Linked DNA regions of Mus musculus. The protein of the gene in region 2 interacts with the protein of the main gene of each other region in a pairwise test. Links are inferred from orthologs where the notes say so. Each region holds a gene or a part of one and is shown on either strand. Other genes may lie near its edges. The genes, in order: Plxnb1, Arhgef11, Plxnb3 and Plxnb2.

Region 1 (4,361 bases), on a different chromosome or scaffold from region 2:
AGAACAGGACAGGACAGGACAGGAACTCAAGCAGGGCCAGAACCTCGTGGAGGGGTGCCGCTTACTGCTCAGTATGCTTTCTTACAGAACCCAGGGCTACCAGCCCAGGGGGGCCCCACCCTCAATGGACTGGGACCGCCCCTGTCAATCACTAATTAAGAAGATGCCCTACAGGGGGATCTTATGGAGCGATTTCTCCACTGAAGTTCATTCTTTCAGATAACTCAAGCTTCTGTCAAGTTGACATAAATCAAGCCAGCACCCCACCCCCACCCCACCCCACGGGAGTCTGAGGGTGTGATGGTAGAGCAGCCTGGCATCAGCCCTTAGTGAAGTGGCAGATACGGAAGACGGCTTCCCCCGATTTAGAGCCCTCTAACCTTAGAGGCTTCCAGGTGACGTATATGCAGTTTTTCCCTTTCTGGACACTATGCCAATGGCCTTGAGCCAAAGTCCTTCAAAAGCCCTCAGGATGGGTCAGGTCCTGGCTCCACAGATTGCCATTGGCAAGCCCGGGTGTGAACCGCCCTGCATAAAGCCCTCAGGAGAGAACCTCTGCCCAGGGTTTCCTTCCCAGAAAGACCCAGGTGTTTTCCAAGGAGGGAGTCCAGACTTGCTCAAGGCTTCTGAGTTCTGCATGGCTCCAGGTACAGGCCGTGGAGGAGGGAAGGAAATAAGACCCTACTTCTGCACCTCACAGCCAGTATGCCCTGCTTACACAGTTCAGCTTTGGTGGTATTACCCCCTATTAGTCAGGGAGCAAAAAGGTCGGGGTGTGTGTGTGTGGGGGGGGAAGGGGTGTCAGGTTACATGGCTTAGTGATGGCGCAAACTCAGGTCCAAAGCCCGGGCTCTCTTCAAACAGCCAGGGGTGGGGGCCGGAAGGAGAGGTTGGGTGTTGTGGAGTATTGAAAGAAGGAAAGGTGGGCAGGGCCAGGTGAGAAGAGGAGAAGCTGGCGTCTAGGAGACCAGGTGAAGAAAGTTGGGGGGAGAGGATGGCTCCAAGGGCCGGGATCTAGAAGGGAATGAGGGCGCTCCGGGCGCTGGGCGAGGTGCGTTGGGGATAGTCAAGATGGTGGTTATGGAACAGGCAGAGCAGGTGTGGGGCACAAGTCCCTCGAACTCTGGCAGGACGGGGAAAGGCTCCAGTGCTGTATCTCAACGCCCAGGTAATAAGGCTCGCAACCATGGCCGTAGCCTCTTGGTCCTAAGCGGCGCGCAGGTGAGGCCCGGCTGGGCGGGGCGGACCGCCCACGCTCCCGGCTCCGCTCCTCACCCTACACGTCTGCGTTGCCATGACTACCGCCCGGGCGCTGCAGCCCCCATTTAATGAGAGGGGTTGATCACCCCCCCAGGCCCTTCACAAACTCGGATCCCGCGGGACCGGAATGCGGGGTCCCGGATGGCTGGGGCCGCGTACCCCGTTCTCCCGGCAGCTTCCGGCCTGGTCCGGGCGGCGCGCGGGGGGAGGGCGGCCCGACGGGCGGGGGGTGGGGGGGTGGAAGGAGCGGAGCCCGGGCCGGCCGACGCGGCTTTGTCTCCTTTGTTCCCAGCGGAGGCAGCGCCGCGGCGGGAGGGGCGGGCGGCGGGCGCAGTTTTTTCCGCCCCTCGGTCTCCGGGTAACAGCTGCGGCTCCGCCAGACCCACCTCCGAGGGGAGGGAAGGCCGCCGCGCGCAGATCTGAGCTAGCCCGGAGCTGCGGGCGGACGCCTCGCCGCGCGCATCCCGCAGGAGGGTCGGGCGGTGAGTTGCGAGACTTGGGCAGGGAAGGCGGGGTTGCAGGCGAGAGCCGCGCGCACCCAGGTGGAACGGCCCGAGGCCTCGATCCCGCTGGGCACAGGCAGCCGGAGTGGTGTCTCCGGTGGGTGGCTTCGGTCCTCAGAGTTGGGACCACACTCGCGCGCGCGAAGGCAAACTCTGGCGGCACCGCCTGTAACGCGATTGGGAGACAGAGGAGGTGGAGCTGCTCCTCCGCGCCCCCTCCTCGCTGCCGCCACCGCCGCTTTCGGGACCGGCCGGCCCCTTCCCCGCCCTCCCTGGGCCACTGGTGGGGTCTTTGTCCCGTGGAGCGGCGGAGGGAGGAGGGTTGAGGATGAGTCGAAGCAAGGAAGTGGAGGCTTCCCCATAGGATAACAGATCTTTCAGGCAGAGACTGACAAAGGAGGACCACGAGCCTTTTAACACTTGGACTCTGTCTCGGTACCCACACACCCAGCCGGTGCTTGACGAGCGCCTTAATTTATGGCGGGTGTCTGGTAAATGATGGCTCCCTTCCACCCTACTCAACATCCAGACGGCAGGTGTGTAGTGCACACCACTTCACTGTCAAAAAGTAACTCTCCCTTTTAAGTGGATACTGGGATAGGGGCGGGAGTGTGGGTGGCCGAGCTCAGAAAGGGAAGGCCAGTTTCCCCCAACTCCCAGACAAGTGCAGATGTGGAAGGGGCTGAATTTGTGAGTCTTCTTGGTTGTGAGAGCAGCTGCAGGAGAGGGTTAGGTGTTGCTTGTCCTTTGCAGAAGTCAGGCAACCAGTCTTGGGCCCTGCCGTAGGGTTTCGGGGAGTGTGGGTTCTAAAGAGGCCTATGGGGCAGGCCTGGGCACAGGCAGAGTTAGTTAGACTTTGGCGATGAGCCTGGACAGCCTGAGATGTGGGGAGTTAGGGAGGAGATACTGGCAGTGCAAGTTAGGGACGTGAGGCTTGGCTCCAAATAAGCCCTAGTCCGATCATTAATAAAACTGGGCCGATTCCTCGGCTTTTGAGATGCTAAGAGGCTTGAAAGCGGAGTGTGAGCTCCATATTACCCCTCTAGTCTGGATCTCCTTGGCAGTGAAATGGGGGCTCTGTCACCATGTAGGGAACACCTGCTCTGCGTTGGGTCTGCTGGTTACTGGAGCCTTCTTATAAAAAGCAGGTACTCTCTGCCTTTAAAGAGCTCTTGTCTAGGGTGGGAGGACGGAACAGAAGAAAATGGTCTCGGGGCCCACTCATGCCAGGTACACCCCAGAGGAGTCCTTCCTCCCCTCCCACTAATGGGAAATCTGAGGCTCAGAGCCCAAGGAAGAGCAGGATAGATAGGTCAGGCCTGGTAGCTGGGCGTGTCCATTTCATCTACCACACAGGGTTACCTCCTCGGGAGCCGGAGAGGCCTCAGGAGGCTCCTCAGGGAGGTGATGGCAGGGTGTGGGAGGTAATGGGAGACAGAGGGAGTGGGCATTCCAGGCTGAGGGAACAGCCCTTGTATTGGCAGGGAGGAACAGAAGAACAAGCCTGCAGTTTAGGCTGGAACGAGGGGCATGTGTGGGGGAGGGTGTGGGGGAGAGGGTCTTGACCTTTCTCTCTTCAGCCTGAGGGTACCCCAAAAGCCTGAGTGTGTGCACTCCACTGTTGTTTAACAAAATTCCAGTGAGGTCCTCATAGGGACTAGAGATGCCTCTGTGGCGTGTAGCTGACGTCCAGTGAAATCTGTGTGCTAATGTGGAGGAGAAAAATGTCAGTCTCCTTTGTCCTTCCCTGCCCGTGGTATGCAGCCCTATGGATGTCGTTTCTTACAGAGAGTCAACCTCTGACCTGTCCACTGAGCTTTTTGGAGCCCTCACATTTCTGTGTGTTCCCCTCAACTTCAGTTTGGGGAGTGGCTTTGTTACTGCCCCTTGAGGGCTGAGAAACTTTGGCATGCAGTAGGCGCTAAGCAAATATTTACAAGCTCATGAAGCGGCAAGTGCTGGCCTCACTGTGGGACCCTGTGCCCAAGGCCCAGGGTCTGTAGCCCAAGGTGGTTGGAGAGAGTTAGGCAGAAGCAGAGAGCAGGAGATGGCTTCTGCTCTTCCAGAGGAAGAAACAAGGTAGCAGGCTTTTTAGTAGCCTGGCCTTACCACAGTCCTGGGCTTCTGGCTGGGTTCAAGACTTTCCCTGCAGCCTCCCCCCCACCCCCCCCACCCCTCAACCCCAACCCCCTTGGGTGGCAAACAGAGGCAGCCTTGTTCCTGCTCCCATAGAGCTTCCCTGTTCTCTCCACACTAAAAATGGAAACCCCCAAGCTATTTTGGGAGCCGTGCCCAGCCAGACTGGCCATGGCCCCCTGCTCCCACTGGGCTGTGACCACAGAGTCCTTGCTCCCGCCAGGCTGCTGGACCTTCCTCTCAGCCTTGTACCCAGCCTAGCTTAGGATAGGGCAGCCTCAGGAGCGCCTTGCCGCGGCCTCTGGTATATGGGCCAATCCAGGGGCAAAGAAGGGAATTCTGGGAATCTTCCACATAGACAGCCTGGCAGCTGGGTGGTGGGAGGGCCTGGGCAGTGTGGCCTGGGCACAAGGAGGGGAAAGTGTTTCTCAGTGTAGAATAGTTTGTCCCATAACCAAACTG
Region 2 (3,052 bases):
ACTAGAAATCATGGACATCCAGAGCAGGGCTGCCTCTGCTGAGGGTTCTGGAGAGCCCATGCCAACCTCCAGGGAATCTCCAACCAAGGTAACTCTCCCTCATCTCTAGCCCCTCCTCTACCTTCCAGAGCTCCAGCCCCGGCTGGCAAGTGGCTCTGGGGATCTCTCCGGCTGCTCTGAGTCTCAGTCACTGTGTTAAGGTGCACCATGGCTTTTCCAGTTATGTCCCAGGTCCTCTAAGGCATGGCTCAGCTGCCATGGCTCTTCCTGGTCTGTGGGAAGGAGGGCAGTGTGGTAACCCTCTTCATGGTTTGCATCTGAGAGTAGGTCACAGCAGCCCTGTTCCTTCGTGTGACGTAACCACAATGTCCTTTTCTGGGCCAGAGCCAGTTGTCCAACCTCTGCTGAGAAGGTCTACACACCGGCACTTTGGGACAGGTGGAAAGACCTGGTGCAGGATGGCTGTGGCAGGGGCTTTCTTGTCTCCCTCTACCCATTTTTGACCGGTCACACCGGCAGCCTCACACCCTCTATCAGGCTAAGAATCATACAACCACAATGGAAGAATATTTAACTTTTCTTTAAAAAAATCTTAACCATGAAAGGAAGAAAATAAGAGTATACATTATTTTAACAGTAAAACAGTCATTTCCATATCTATATTTTATATATTATATATATTTATATATATGTATATATACACCTAGCACAGTGTGTATGTTCATTGTAGGGAGTGGCGTGAGGACAGGGTGATGAGCCAACGGTGCTGTGGCCCCTGGGGAAGGAAGGGCCCTGACTTAACTCAGGGACTCCAGCAATCCACTCCACATCTCTCTTGAGAGTCTGTGTTGAGATCCGTACCTGGTGTATTGTTTCTATGGGGCAAGTGGGGAAGGGCTGGGTAAGACACTCCCTGCAGGAGCATTTCCTGACACTGAGAAGGCCTAGGCTTCAGAGGTGGGCAGGCCCTGGAGCTTGACAGCACTGGAATCTGGGAGACCTCCCTGCCAGTGGGACATAAACAATCATGGCCCTGTGCGGGGCTGCTGCCTGGCTCTCTGTGACTGGTTGAACATGCCAGGGACAGAATAAAAGGCTAAGTTATTTACAATGGCAAAGATACACATACAATAGACATATTTATAGGAAACTAAAGGGCAAAGAGGAGAGCCAGGCATCTAGCTGTCTCGGGGCCTAGGAAGAAGAGGAGGAAGAAAGTGCATTTATACATAAGCCTCCTCAAGGGCACTGTGCACATAGCACACCCCACACTGGCTATGTGGGGTGGAGGCCTTTCTATTGTGGTCAGCATGCTTAGGAGACGAAAGCCACGGAGACTTGGGCTAACAGGAGGAAGAGACACTAAACTGGACTGTCTGGTGGGAACAGACCAGGCAACATGAGGGATTCCCAGGCCTCACAGTATCTTTCACGGGGAGGCTCGGATCTCCTAATGTGGCGCTCTGGCTCAGGCCAGACTCTGGTTGTCTGGATGGCTATGGTCCTGGTGACGAAGCTGTGTCTGTGGCACTGTCTTCCAGGGGGGTGTCGGAGCCTGTGGGAAGATGGTGAGGGTGAGACGCTGGCTACATTTGAGAGGTTCTCTTTCATGTCCCTGGCTGATTCTTGAGTGCCAGCTGTGACAAAGCTTATATGTAATAGAGTGTGTGGAAGCTAGACAACTTGTTGGAGTCGGTTCTCTCCTTCCATGTGAATCCTGGGGCTCGAACTCAGATGGTCAGGCTTGGTGAGCCATCTTGTCAGTCCAAGCCTTGTTTCCTGTGGGACTGCATTTCTTTCCAGGCGCCAAAACCAAGACAGGTTAGGCGTTTTAGCTTTCTGAATTCGGTCCTTGCCCTTATAACCCAGGTCTGAGCCACTAAGAACCTGCTGCAGAGGTAAGGCGGCTTTCCTGGTACATTACTTCCTCAAACCAACATAAATAGAAGGTTCTGGGGGCTGAGAGATGGCTCAGTGGTTAAGAATACTTTCTACTCTCCCAGAGCGCCCAGGTTCAATTCCCATCACCCACATGGCAGCTCACAACCACCTATAACTCCAGTTTCAGTCCTCTTCTGGCATCCTTTGGTACTGCATGTATGTGATATACAGACTTACATGCAGGCAAGAGGTTCTGTACTACTAGTCCCTATTTGGGGGGGAGTCTCTGTGTAGCTTGCCTATAAAGATCACTTTCTGGGGCTGGAGAGAGTTCAATGGATAATCAGAACACCTAGAAACAGGACACAGGAGAACAAACTGGTGGGTGGGCCGGCCAGCCTGGCTCATCTAGCGGTGAACATAGATGCTGCCTCAGGGTGGAAGGCAAGAACGGACAACTGAAGTTGTTCTCTGACAGACTCCCCCCTCCCGGCCTGGAACTATATACCTCCAACTCACAGAAATTCAGCTGCATCTGTTTCCTGGGTGTTGGGATTAAAGGCACAGCACTGTGCCTGGCAAACTTTCTCTGTGAAGCTGAGGGAATGTGCTTGCTCTTTCTTAGGGAAGAGTCATGGGAGCACGGCCCACTACCTGCTCACACTTACTCCTGGTTCACAGCATTCCCTCAGGCAGCACATGCAGGGGTTGGCTTCACTCACCTTCTTCAGGGTAGGACCCCTGCTCCTGATTGTTTTGGGGGTCAGAGGTCAGGGCTTCCTTGGCTGGAGGAGAGAGGGAGTAGTCTGTCCATCTGGCTGCCTCTGTGTGAAAACTTCCCACAGGAGTGGTTCCACCAGACGACTCTCCTCCAAGGGAGTTGAGCAGCTCTCTGTGGGCCAGCTCCATGTCCTACAAGAGTTGAAGGAGGTGTCTTCCCTGTGCTAAGGCTCAGAGGGTGCGGGAGGGTACGCAGGGTAGCATAGGACTCCAGTTGAAGAGATATACTTCCTGAGTTGGGGATGGAGCTTAATGTTTGTCTAGCTTGTGTGAGGCCCTCGTCTCAAATTTCTATCAGTTTCCCTCTCGGGGAACTGTCCCGGGTACTGGATGGACGGCTTCCTGCCCCAAGGCTGCACCCCTCACCTTGAGTCTGTGAAGCTTGACGGTC
Region 3 (4,174 bases), on a different chromosome or scaffold from region 2:
GGCATGATGTCCCCCAAGGGTGTTGGCAGTGGAGCTAGGAGAGCAAGAACCAAACTTCTGACCCAAAATGAGAAAGCTGGCATCATCCTGGAATTCGGTGCAATGTAAGGAGGCTGTCTGCTTGGTTCCCCACCCCACCATCAACCAACTGGCTCAGCCAGATGGTAAGGGCCACCTGCCACTTCACCCTGAAGCTTGTTGCTACTGTGAACTAAAGAAGTAGCAAAGAGGTTGGGGATTTAGCTCAGTGGTAGAGCGCTTGCCTAGCAAGCGCAAGGCCCTGGGTTCGGTCCTCAGCTCTGGGAAAAACAAAAACAAAAACAAAAAACAACAACAACAACAAAAAAACAAGTAGCAAAGACTCTAAAGCAAGTAAAAGTGTCCCTGTACAATGGGCCCTTAGGCTAGTTGGCCCCCAAGGTGCCCTATGAGAGCAGCAAGGGAGCCAGCTGCTACTGGCACTCCCTTCCCTCCTATGGTGGAAGGATCCAGACCCATCCGGAAGGACCTTCTGGTCCTATGTCTGAAGCCCAGGGCTCAATCCTGGCAAAGTCCCCTGTGGTCTCCCTGCCTCAGCCCCTCCCATGCATTATCCTCTTCTGATTTTCCCCACTACCATTCTGTACCTGGCACAGCTTTGCCAGTCCTTGGGGGTAGGACTGGGTGGGGACAATCTTCTCTCAAGCCAGTAGGCGGGGGAGAAGGTCTTTGCCATGAGCTGTCTTTGTCAGTGCCTCCTCTGCCTTAGCCTGGACAAAGACAGGCATTGACAGCTGGCACTAGCACTTCAGCCAGGACCAAGGCTACTGACACTGAGGCTGAGGCTGTCATTTCAGGGGCTCAGTGCCTTTGGCCCTGTGGTGGGGGCTTAAGGGCTACCCAGTGCTCTTTACGGAGACCCAGAGAAACTCAGGGAGGGAGCACTCTGCACTGGCACAGGAGTTGTGAACCACATGGGGAAAATTGGCTCAAGGAAACCCTGTCCTTTTGTCTCTACATCCCAGGGGGTTTCTCCCTGGAGATGGGGAGTGGCAGGGAGCTCCCTGGCTAGAACAGCCAGAGTGGGGGTAAGAACACCAGATAGCAGGTCCCTGGCCTGGGCCTCTGGACAGAGGGGACATTGTTGGGGTGGAGGCAGGGCTGCCTTGGCCAGGCCACTATTGACAAAGCTGCCAGCTGTGGTGGAGCCCGATCTCCAGGCCCTTGCCCCCTCCCCTGCCTCCTTCCTCCCCCAGGGCCACCATGAATGGGGCTGAGCCTCAACTGTCTCCCTCCCACTCAGGACAATGCCCCCCACAGCCATCTTGTGCCCGTCGCCACTGCCCTGAGGCAGCTGATGTGAGGAGACCCCATTTCTGCACTCCGTAGTGGTGGTAAGTGTCTGGGCCCTATGTCCCCCAAGGTGTCCCAAAGAGATGTAGAGAGGGATAAATTTGGCTGGACTAGGGCACAGAGCAGTCTTGCAGGGAGCTTCCATCTCCTCTGCGTTTTTGGGTAACAACTCCCATCTCCTCCATTACACACACCCACCTCTGTCACAGCGATACATGGGCACTAGAGAAAAGTATATTTCCTGTCTGTGCTCTTGAGATAAGGGGACTTGGGGTCTTTTTGAGTAGCAGTGGGTGGCTTCTGGTGGGCACATGACTAACTGTGATGATCCCAACTCAGTTCAGGAACTGTCACCAGCTCCTGCCCTCTTTCTAGAGCTCTACGCAGGGTTAAATCTGTCTGGATGTCACCTAGTTAGGCAGTTGGTCAGTGGCTGCTGCTGACTGCTCTTGGAGGAGAGCTGGGGACTGGCACCTGTCCTCAGTGCCTCAGACTCAAGGTCCTCTCCACTCACCTGGAGCTACCTCTATCCTACTTCCCTTCTCTCTGATCTTTCATGGCTCTTCTCATCAGTGCTCCTACATTGAGGACCCTTCTAAAACTAGGTTTCCACAGACTCTAGATGCTGGGGTCCATCACTCTTGTACTCTGAGTTGCCTCCTAGTGCCTCACAGTTCCCCTAGAACCATCTAGGCTGGCTCAAAGCTCTCCTACCACCTCTATACTGGCCACCCAGTAGTGGTCTAAAGCCCTGGCCCTGGCCACCTATTCATTACTGTTTTGGGAGTAGTGTGCCTATGTCTAGCTGCATCTTGGCCGGAAGCCAAAGCTCTTCTTGGTTGTCTTGTCCAGTTAGTGAAGGTTCCTATATGAAGCTGGTTCTGACTGTATAGAGTGGGTTTTCTGTCCCTGTCCCTTTTGCCATGGGTATCCTGTCTTTACATGTGATGATCTGGCTTCTCTTATCATCATGTCTTTTTGTCTAGGTGACAGTATCTAGTTGCCCGCAGACACGACTTCCTTTTTCCATTTCCCTCCCTTTTCCTGCCCTTGTCACTCAGAATTCCTCTGTCATGCCTTTATAGCTTCTCAGGATCTGTCCTCTTTCTAGTCTACATGCAAATAAAGCAGAAGATGAAAAAATTATTTCCTTGTGTGTGTCCTCATCTCCATCCTGTCTCTTTCTCTATCTATAGGACACTTTCTTTGTCTTTTCTGTCCTCTTCCTGGCTGCCTCCCTCTAAGTACCCCCACCCTTCCTCTCTTCCTCTCTCTTCCTCCCCTCCTTCCCCTGTCTCTCTAGCCTCTTTTGCCTTCCTCTGGTAATGTCTCTTTCCTAGTTTAGCTCCCATTCTTTCCCTTGCCCACTTCTGCCTGTTGAAGAATGAAGCATTTTTAGCATTCTCCCATCAGGTCTTATGCTGACTGACTTCCTCCAGGCTCCTGTGATGGCTCCCTGGTCTCCCTTCAGCCTCCACCTGCTGCTGCTGTTCCTGCCGCTGCTGCCTTTGACCAGGGTCCATCGCTTCTCTGTACCAAATACCAGCTTCAACCACCTGGTGCTGGCACCAGATCAGGGCAAACTCTACGTGGGTGCAGTGAATCACCTCTTTCAGCTCAGCCCTGAGCTGAAGATGGAGTCTGTGGCTGTCACTGGCCCTGTCATTGACAGTCCTGATTGTGTGCCTTTCCGTGACCTGGCTGAGTGCCCACAGGCCCAGCTCACTGACAATGCCAACCAGCTCTTGTTGGTGAGCAGCAGGACACAGGAACTGGTGGCTTGTGGGCAAGTGAAGCAGGGTGTATGTGAGAAGCGGCGCCTTGGGGATGTGACTCAAGTGTTGTACCAGGCTGAGGACCCTGGTGATGGGCAGTTTGTGGCTGCCAATACCCTGGGAGTGACCACAGTAGGCCTAGTGGTGCCCTTGCCAGGCCGAGACCTCCTGCTAGTGGCCAGAGGCCTGGCAGGCAAGCTGTCAGCAGGAGTGCCACCCCTAACTGTGCGCCAGCTGGCTGGGCCACAGCCTTTCTCCAGTGAAGGACTGGGAAGACTTGTGGTCGGTGACTTTTCAGACTACAACAATAGCTATGTAGGAGCTTTTTCTGATGCTCACTCTGCCTACTTTGTGTTCCGTCGCCGTGGGGCTCGGGCCCAGACTGAGTATCGCTCCTATGTAGCTCGTGTCTGCCTCAGAGATGTCAACCTTTATTCCTATGTGGAAATGCCACTTACCTGCCATGGCCAGGGCCTTATCCAGGCTGCCTTCCTTACTCCAGACACTTTGCTAGGTGCATTTTCAGCAGGCACAAGTCAGGCACAGGCGGCCCTGTGTGCCTTTCCCTTAGCTGACCTGGACAGGAGTATGGAACAAGCCAGGCGACTTTGCTATACTACTGGTGGTCAGGGTCCTAGCGGCATGGAAGAAGCCACTGTGGAGTATGGTGTCACATCCCGTTGCGTCACTTTGCCTCCTGTGAGTGGTGAGAGCCTGGCTCCCAAATTTTGATTGGGGGTTCTATCTTCACTTTCTGTGCCTTGCCCTGCTTTGCCAGCCCTCTCCCTCTGTGACATGGGACAGAGTACTCTCCAGGAATAGCTACTGGTTCACCTCTTAGCTGAGTATATCAATAGGTAGCAGTTGGCTGTCTCGAAACTCTGATCTGCTCTCAGCCTTCCAATTCTTCCTAATCCCTTTCTCACTGACTGTGGGGTGTCCTCTGTTCCCAGGGGAGTGCCTACCCACTCCCTCCTGAAAACTGATTCTCTACACCTTGCCTATCTAGGACTCCCCCGAGTCATACCCCTGTGGTGATGAACACACCCCCAGCCCCATCGCAGGCC
Region 4 (3,561 bases), on a different chromosome or scaffold from region 2:
GCGCTCGGCCTGCTGGCTCTTCCTCCTGTGGGGCATTGAACGGCTCTCTGGTATCAGTCAGCTATGACGGTCAGAAGCGCTGATGCTGATGCGGGAGGGATGAGGGGAGCCTTACCGGGGGCAGGACTCACCAGTAGCAGTAGATGGAGACCACGATGATAAACACCATGGGTACCATGACCAGAGGCAGGATGAGACTGAGCGGCACGTCACTCGCACGCGTGTCGTACTCCACTCGGCCTAGCACCCACTCTCGGGAGCCAAACTTCACCTGTGTGGAAGCTAGGGCTCAGCGCAGGCAGGTGTGGGCGGCGGCGGCTTCTCCTGAGAGGCTCCCCAGGCCCTCCACAGCCCTCCCGCTCTCACGCACAATGAACTCAGGTAGGTTGTGTGCCGTGTCTCGCTTCTGCCGCCGCTTGGGTGGAGGCTGCACCTCTGGGGGCTCGCAGTACAGGTCCGTCTCGGTCAGCGTCTTCATAATGCAACGCTCAGCACCCACAAATGCCTCTGCCTCCTCCAGAGTCATGGCTTTGTTCAGATTGGTTCCCTGGAGGGGGGATGGGTGACGGAGGAATGATCAGCGTGATCAGCGTGAGCCCCTGCCCCGCCCGACCCGGGACCCCATGCCAGCCGTAGGGGTCTTCTTACCCGGGCGTGGATGAGCTTGTTGACCTGCTTTTTGACGCCACCCGTGAAGTTCTCAAAGGTGGGGTCTGCCACATACTCAAAGACTCCGGCTTCGGTCCTGAGCGGGGCACAGTGACCGTCCATCCGTATCAGCACGGTGAGGTTGTAAGCCTCGGGCTCTTCGGGGACAGCAGGAGACAAGAAGACGACCTTGGTGTCGTTGTAGAACACGTACTCCATGCCCTCGACCTGTGGAAAGGGTCCCAAAACTTGATGAAGATCTTGCTCCTCCCTCCTGCTTCCCAGCTGCCCCTGTCCCCATTAGAACTGAGCCCCCACCACCCCCAAGCCAGGACTGACCGTCACACGCTCCAGGGCTCCAGCCTCCCGCCGCCGCCGCCTCCAGGACCGCAAGGGCTCAGCGATGACAACCATGGCAAACTTCTGGATGAGGCTGAAGCCCTGGCCAGTAACGTTGATGCTCCGGCCACCACTGGGGGGGTTGAGGAGGGGCATGCTTCAGTGAGTTCAGCTCAGTCAGCTTCGAGCTTCCACTCTTACTAGTTATACCCCAGGCAGGAAGTGGCATGGCAGGGTGGTAAATGTGCATCAGAGGGAGAGGCGAGTTAAGTCGGGGAAGTGGCCCTGCTCTGACCCTGCCATCTCAGTTCTAAGGAGGAAGCCCATCAGAGTGCAGTGGGGTTTTCCAGAAGATCTCTCCTCCTGCCCTGCCCAGCCCAGTTCTGCCACATTCCTCAGGTCAGCGGGCGGGGGTGGGGAGGGCACTAGCCAGAAAGGGGAGAGGCCGCACCTGACAAAGCTTCTCAATGGCTCAAAGGCTCGTATCATGGGGTTCTCGCAGTAGGTGAAAGAGATGCCGGGGCTGGGCACTCTGGAGCCCCCATAGTAGATTTCTAGTGTCACCTGGCCTGGAGCCAACTGTTGACCTGTGACACACTGTAGCTGTGCTCCAAACTTTGTCCTAGGGTGGGAGGTACCTGTCAGTCCATCAAGCCAGTTCCACTGCCCCCTCACCCCCAACCCCACCCCCCAAGGCAGACTCAGGTCTTCCCACCCTCTCCCCAGAGCCAGGCGAGCTCAGCAGCCATGGGCGACACATACACTTCACAAGGGACGTCATTGAGTGTCACCCGCACATCCTCCTTGGAGCCTGTGTCCAGGTGAGTGCCATTGATGGTCAATGTGGTGCCACCTGCCTGTGGCCCCTGTCGTGGCTCCACACTGAGAGGCTGGGGTTGCTGAGAGCAACACACATGCATAGTTAGGGCCAAGGACTCAGGGGTCACTGGAGAGTGATTATCGTTAGATGCCAACTTGCTGGGGTGGGCAGCAGAGGCTGGACAACACAGCTCAGTCAGGCACTTACTTGATAAGTGAACTGGACGTGTGGCGGTGAATGGCCGAGTTTTCCATTAACATCCACCTCAATGCCTCCTGTGAAGGGCATCTCCGAAGCCTCAATTGCACACACAATCCTGGTGACAGACAGGCAGGTGTCAGCTCATTATCACTGCTGCATCTGTTCAGCTGCTAGGAGCCCAGGCTGCTCGGAGTTCACTCACCGGGTGGATACGGAGTACCCTCTTGGTTCAAAGGCACAGTTCTGGCCAGCCACAGTTATCTTCTTGACGTCATCTGCTTTGACACCCAGATTGGACCCATGGATAGTGACCAGGATGCCCCCACCCAGCGGGCCCGTCTCAGGCTGGATCTGAAATCAGCAGAGCCGGGTGCATGAGTGGCTTGGGTGGGTGAACGTGAAGGGGGTATGGGGGTACAGGTCAGACGGTGACAAAACTCACCCTAGTGATAACTGGTGGTGGGCACTCAGAAGTGACATTGCTGCACAGAGCTTCGTACACGCACCGGTTCTGCCCACGGCACCACACACACCTGTAGGCAGGATCGGCAGCCAGACACAGGCTACAGTCACTGCGGCCAAAGGAGCAGTTGTAGAGAGTCACTGTGGAGGAGGACGTAGAGTTAGCTGTTGTTCTGTTCCCTCTCCCGCCTTCCCCAGACCCCACCCACCCCCTACCTTGTAGCTTGCTGTCAATGTTCTTGCCAAAGGACTTAACATACAGGTGAAGAGGCAGTGTCTCATTACCATCATGGGATAGCTGCATGGGACACACAGGGACAAACTGTACTTTCTGTCCCTCTGACACCAAAAGCCATGGGAATCTCTCAATTGCCCAAAGTCAGTGATGGTTGCCAGGTAGGCAGGGACTGGGGAAGAGTCAGACACACACACACCATGGGACCATGAGTTTGTTCAGGGACATAGGCAGAGATGCTTGGAGACCACAAGGCACAGGGCAGGAGGCTAGGCTAGGCTCCAGTGCTAGGGGTAATACCCACTACCCTCCAGCCCTTAAGACAAGCAGTGGTACCTTTGGGGTCCTAAAAGAGAAGGTGTCTGATTCATGCATGGTCACAGTCTCTTCAAAATTCAGCAGCTCACTGCCCACATACAGGGAAGAAACCTGTGGAGAGTCCAGTCAGCATTTTCTACTCAAGCTGGCTAACTGTTCTGCCCTCTGGGGGCATAGAATCTGTATCTCCAGAAGCTCCCGAAATACCCCACCACCTAGTCTGCCCCATGCTCGGGTGCCTCCGAAGACCCTTTGCCTCCCTCTGTAGCAACAATTATGGCATTTTGGTTTCTTTAAACCACACAGGACTATTGTAAGAGTGTGCTTTCGTTTTAGTCCCACATGTGGGGCTGCTTTGGACTGTCCATAGCAGCTGACTATGATTTGCCTCGTGCTCTAGCAGAGGCACAGTTTGCCAGCTGTGGAGTATTTTCTGCGATTGTGTAACGCTTGGAATTCTGGGAACTTTCTGGGGAGTCTTATAGATGCCAGAGCCCTGAGAGGTGAGGGCTGGTAGTTGTTGGTCGTTTGGGGGTGG

Evidence for each region.
Region 1: the proteins of Arhgef11 (region 2) and Plxnb1 interact in a two-hybrid assay, tested with the Homo sapiens proteins (2 studies listed by BioGRID). The link is inferred for Mus musculus from reciprocal best matches to the Homo sapiens genes ARHGEF11 and PLXNB1.
Region 3: the proteins of Arhgef11 (region 2) and Plxnb3 interact in a two-hybrid assay, tested with the Homo sapiens proteins (2 studies listed by BioGRID and IntAct). The link is inferred for Mus musculus from reciprocal best matches to the Homo sapiens genes ARHGEF11 and PLXNB3.
Region 4: the proteins of Arhgef11 (region 2) and Plxnb2 interact in a two-hybrid assay, tested with the Homo sapiens proteins (2 studies listed by BioGRID). The link is inferred for Mus musculus from reciprocal best matches to the Homo sapiens genes ARHGEF11 and PLXNB2.

What each region holds. Positions count from the first base shown.
Region 1 is NC_000075.6:109,093,904-109,098,264, forward strand, and holds the start of Plxnb1 (plexin-B1 precursor), read left to right. Parts: upstream 1-1,532; 5' UTR 1,533-1,742; exon of another isoform or gene 1,743-1,929; intron 1,930-2,052; exon of another isoform or gene 2,053-2,331; intron 2,332-2,362; exon of another isoform or gene 2,363-2,911; intron 2,912-2,959; exon of another isoform or gene 2,960-4,361. UniProt on the Homo sapiens protein: Receptor for SEMA4D. Plays a role in GABAergic synapse development. Mediates SEMA4A- and SEMA4D-dependent inhibitory synapse development. Plays a role in RHOA activation and subsequent changes of the actin cytoskeleton.
Region 2 is NC_000069.6:87,735,547-87,738,598, reverse strand, and holds the end of Arhgef11 (rho guanine nucleotide exchange factor 11), read right to left. Parts: coding exon 3,028-3,052; intron 2,794-3,027; coding exon 2,604-2,793; intron 1,677-2,603; exon of another isoform or gene 1,556-1,676; coding exon 1,497-1,555; 3' UTR 560-1,496; downstream 1-559. UniProt on the Homo sapiens protein: May play a role in the regulation of RhoA GTPase by guanine nucleotide-binding alpha-12 (GNA12) and alpha-13 (GNA13). Acts as guanine nucleotide exchange factor (GEF) for RhoA GTPase and may act as GTPase-activating protein (GAP) for GNA12 and GNA13.
Region 3 is NC_000086.7:73,755,778-73,759,951, forward strand, and holds the start of Plxnb3 (plexin-B3 precursor), read left to right. Parts: upstream 1-1,325; 5' UTR 1,326-1,373; intron 1,374-1,388; exon of another isoform or gene 1,389-2,745; 5' UTR 2,746-2,750; coding exon 2,751-3,806; intron 3,807-4,116; coding exon 4,117-4,174. UniProt on the Homo sapiens protein: Receptor for SEMA5A that plays a role in axon guidance, invasive growth and cell migration. Stimulates neurite outgrowth and mediates Ca(2+)/Mg(2+)-dependent cell aggregation.
Region 4 is NC_000081.6:89,160,237-89,163,797, forward strand, and holds part of Plxnb2 (plexin-B2 precursor), read right to left. Parts: intron 3,135-3,561; coding exon 3,042-3,134; intron 2,769-3,041; coding exon 2,687-2,768; intron 2,673-2,686; exon of another isoform or gene 2,612-2,672; coding exon 2,451-2,611; intron 2,360-2,450; coding exon 2,211-2,359; intron 2,124-2,210; coding exon 2,015-2,123; intron 1,887-2,014; coding exon 1,750-1,886; intron 1,610-1,749; coding exon 1,439-1,609; intron 1,121-1,438; coding exon 988-1,120; intron 877-987; coding exon 649-876; intron 548-648; coding exon 371-547; intron 272-370; coding exon 132-271; intron 26-131; coding exon 1-25.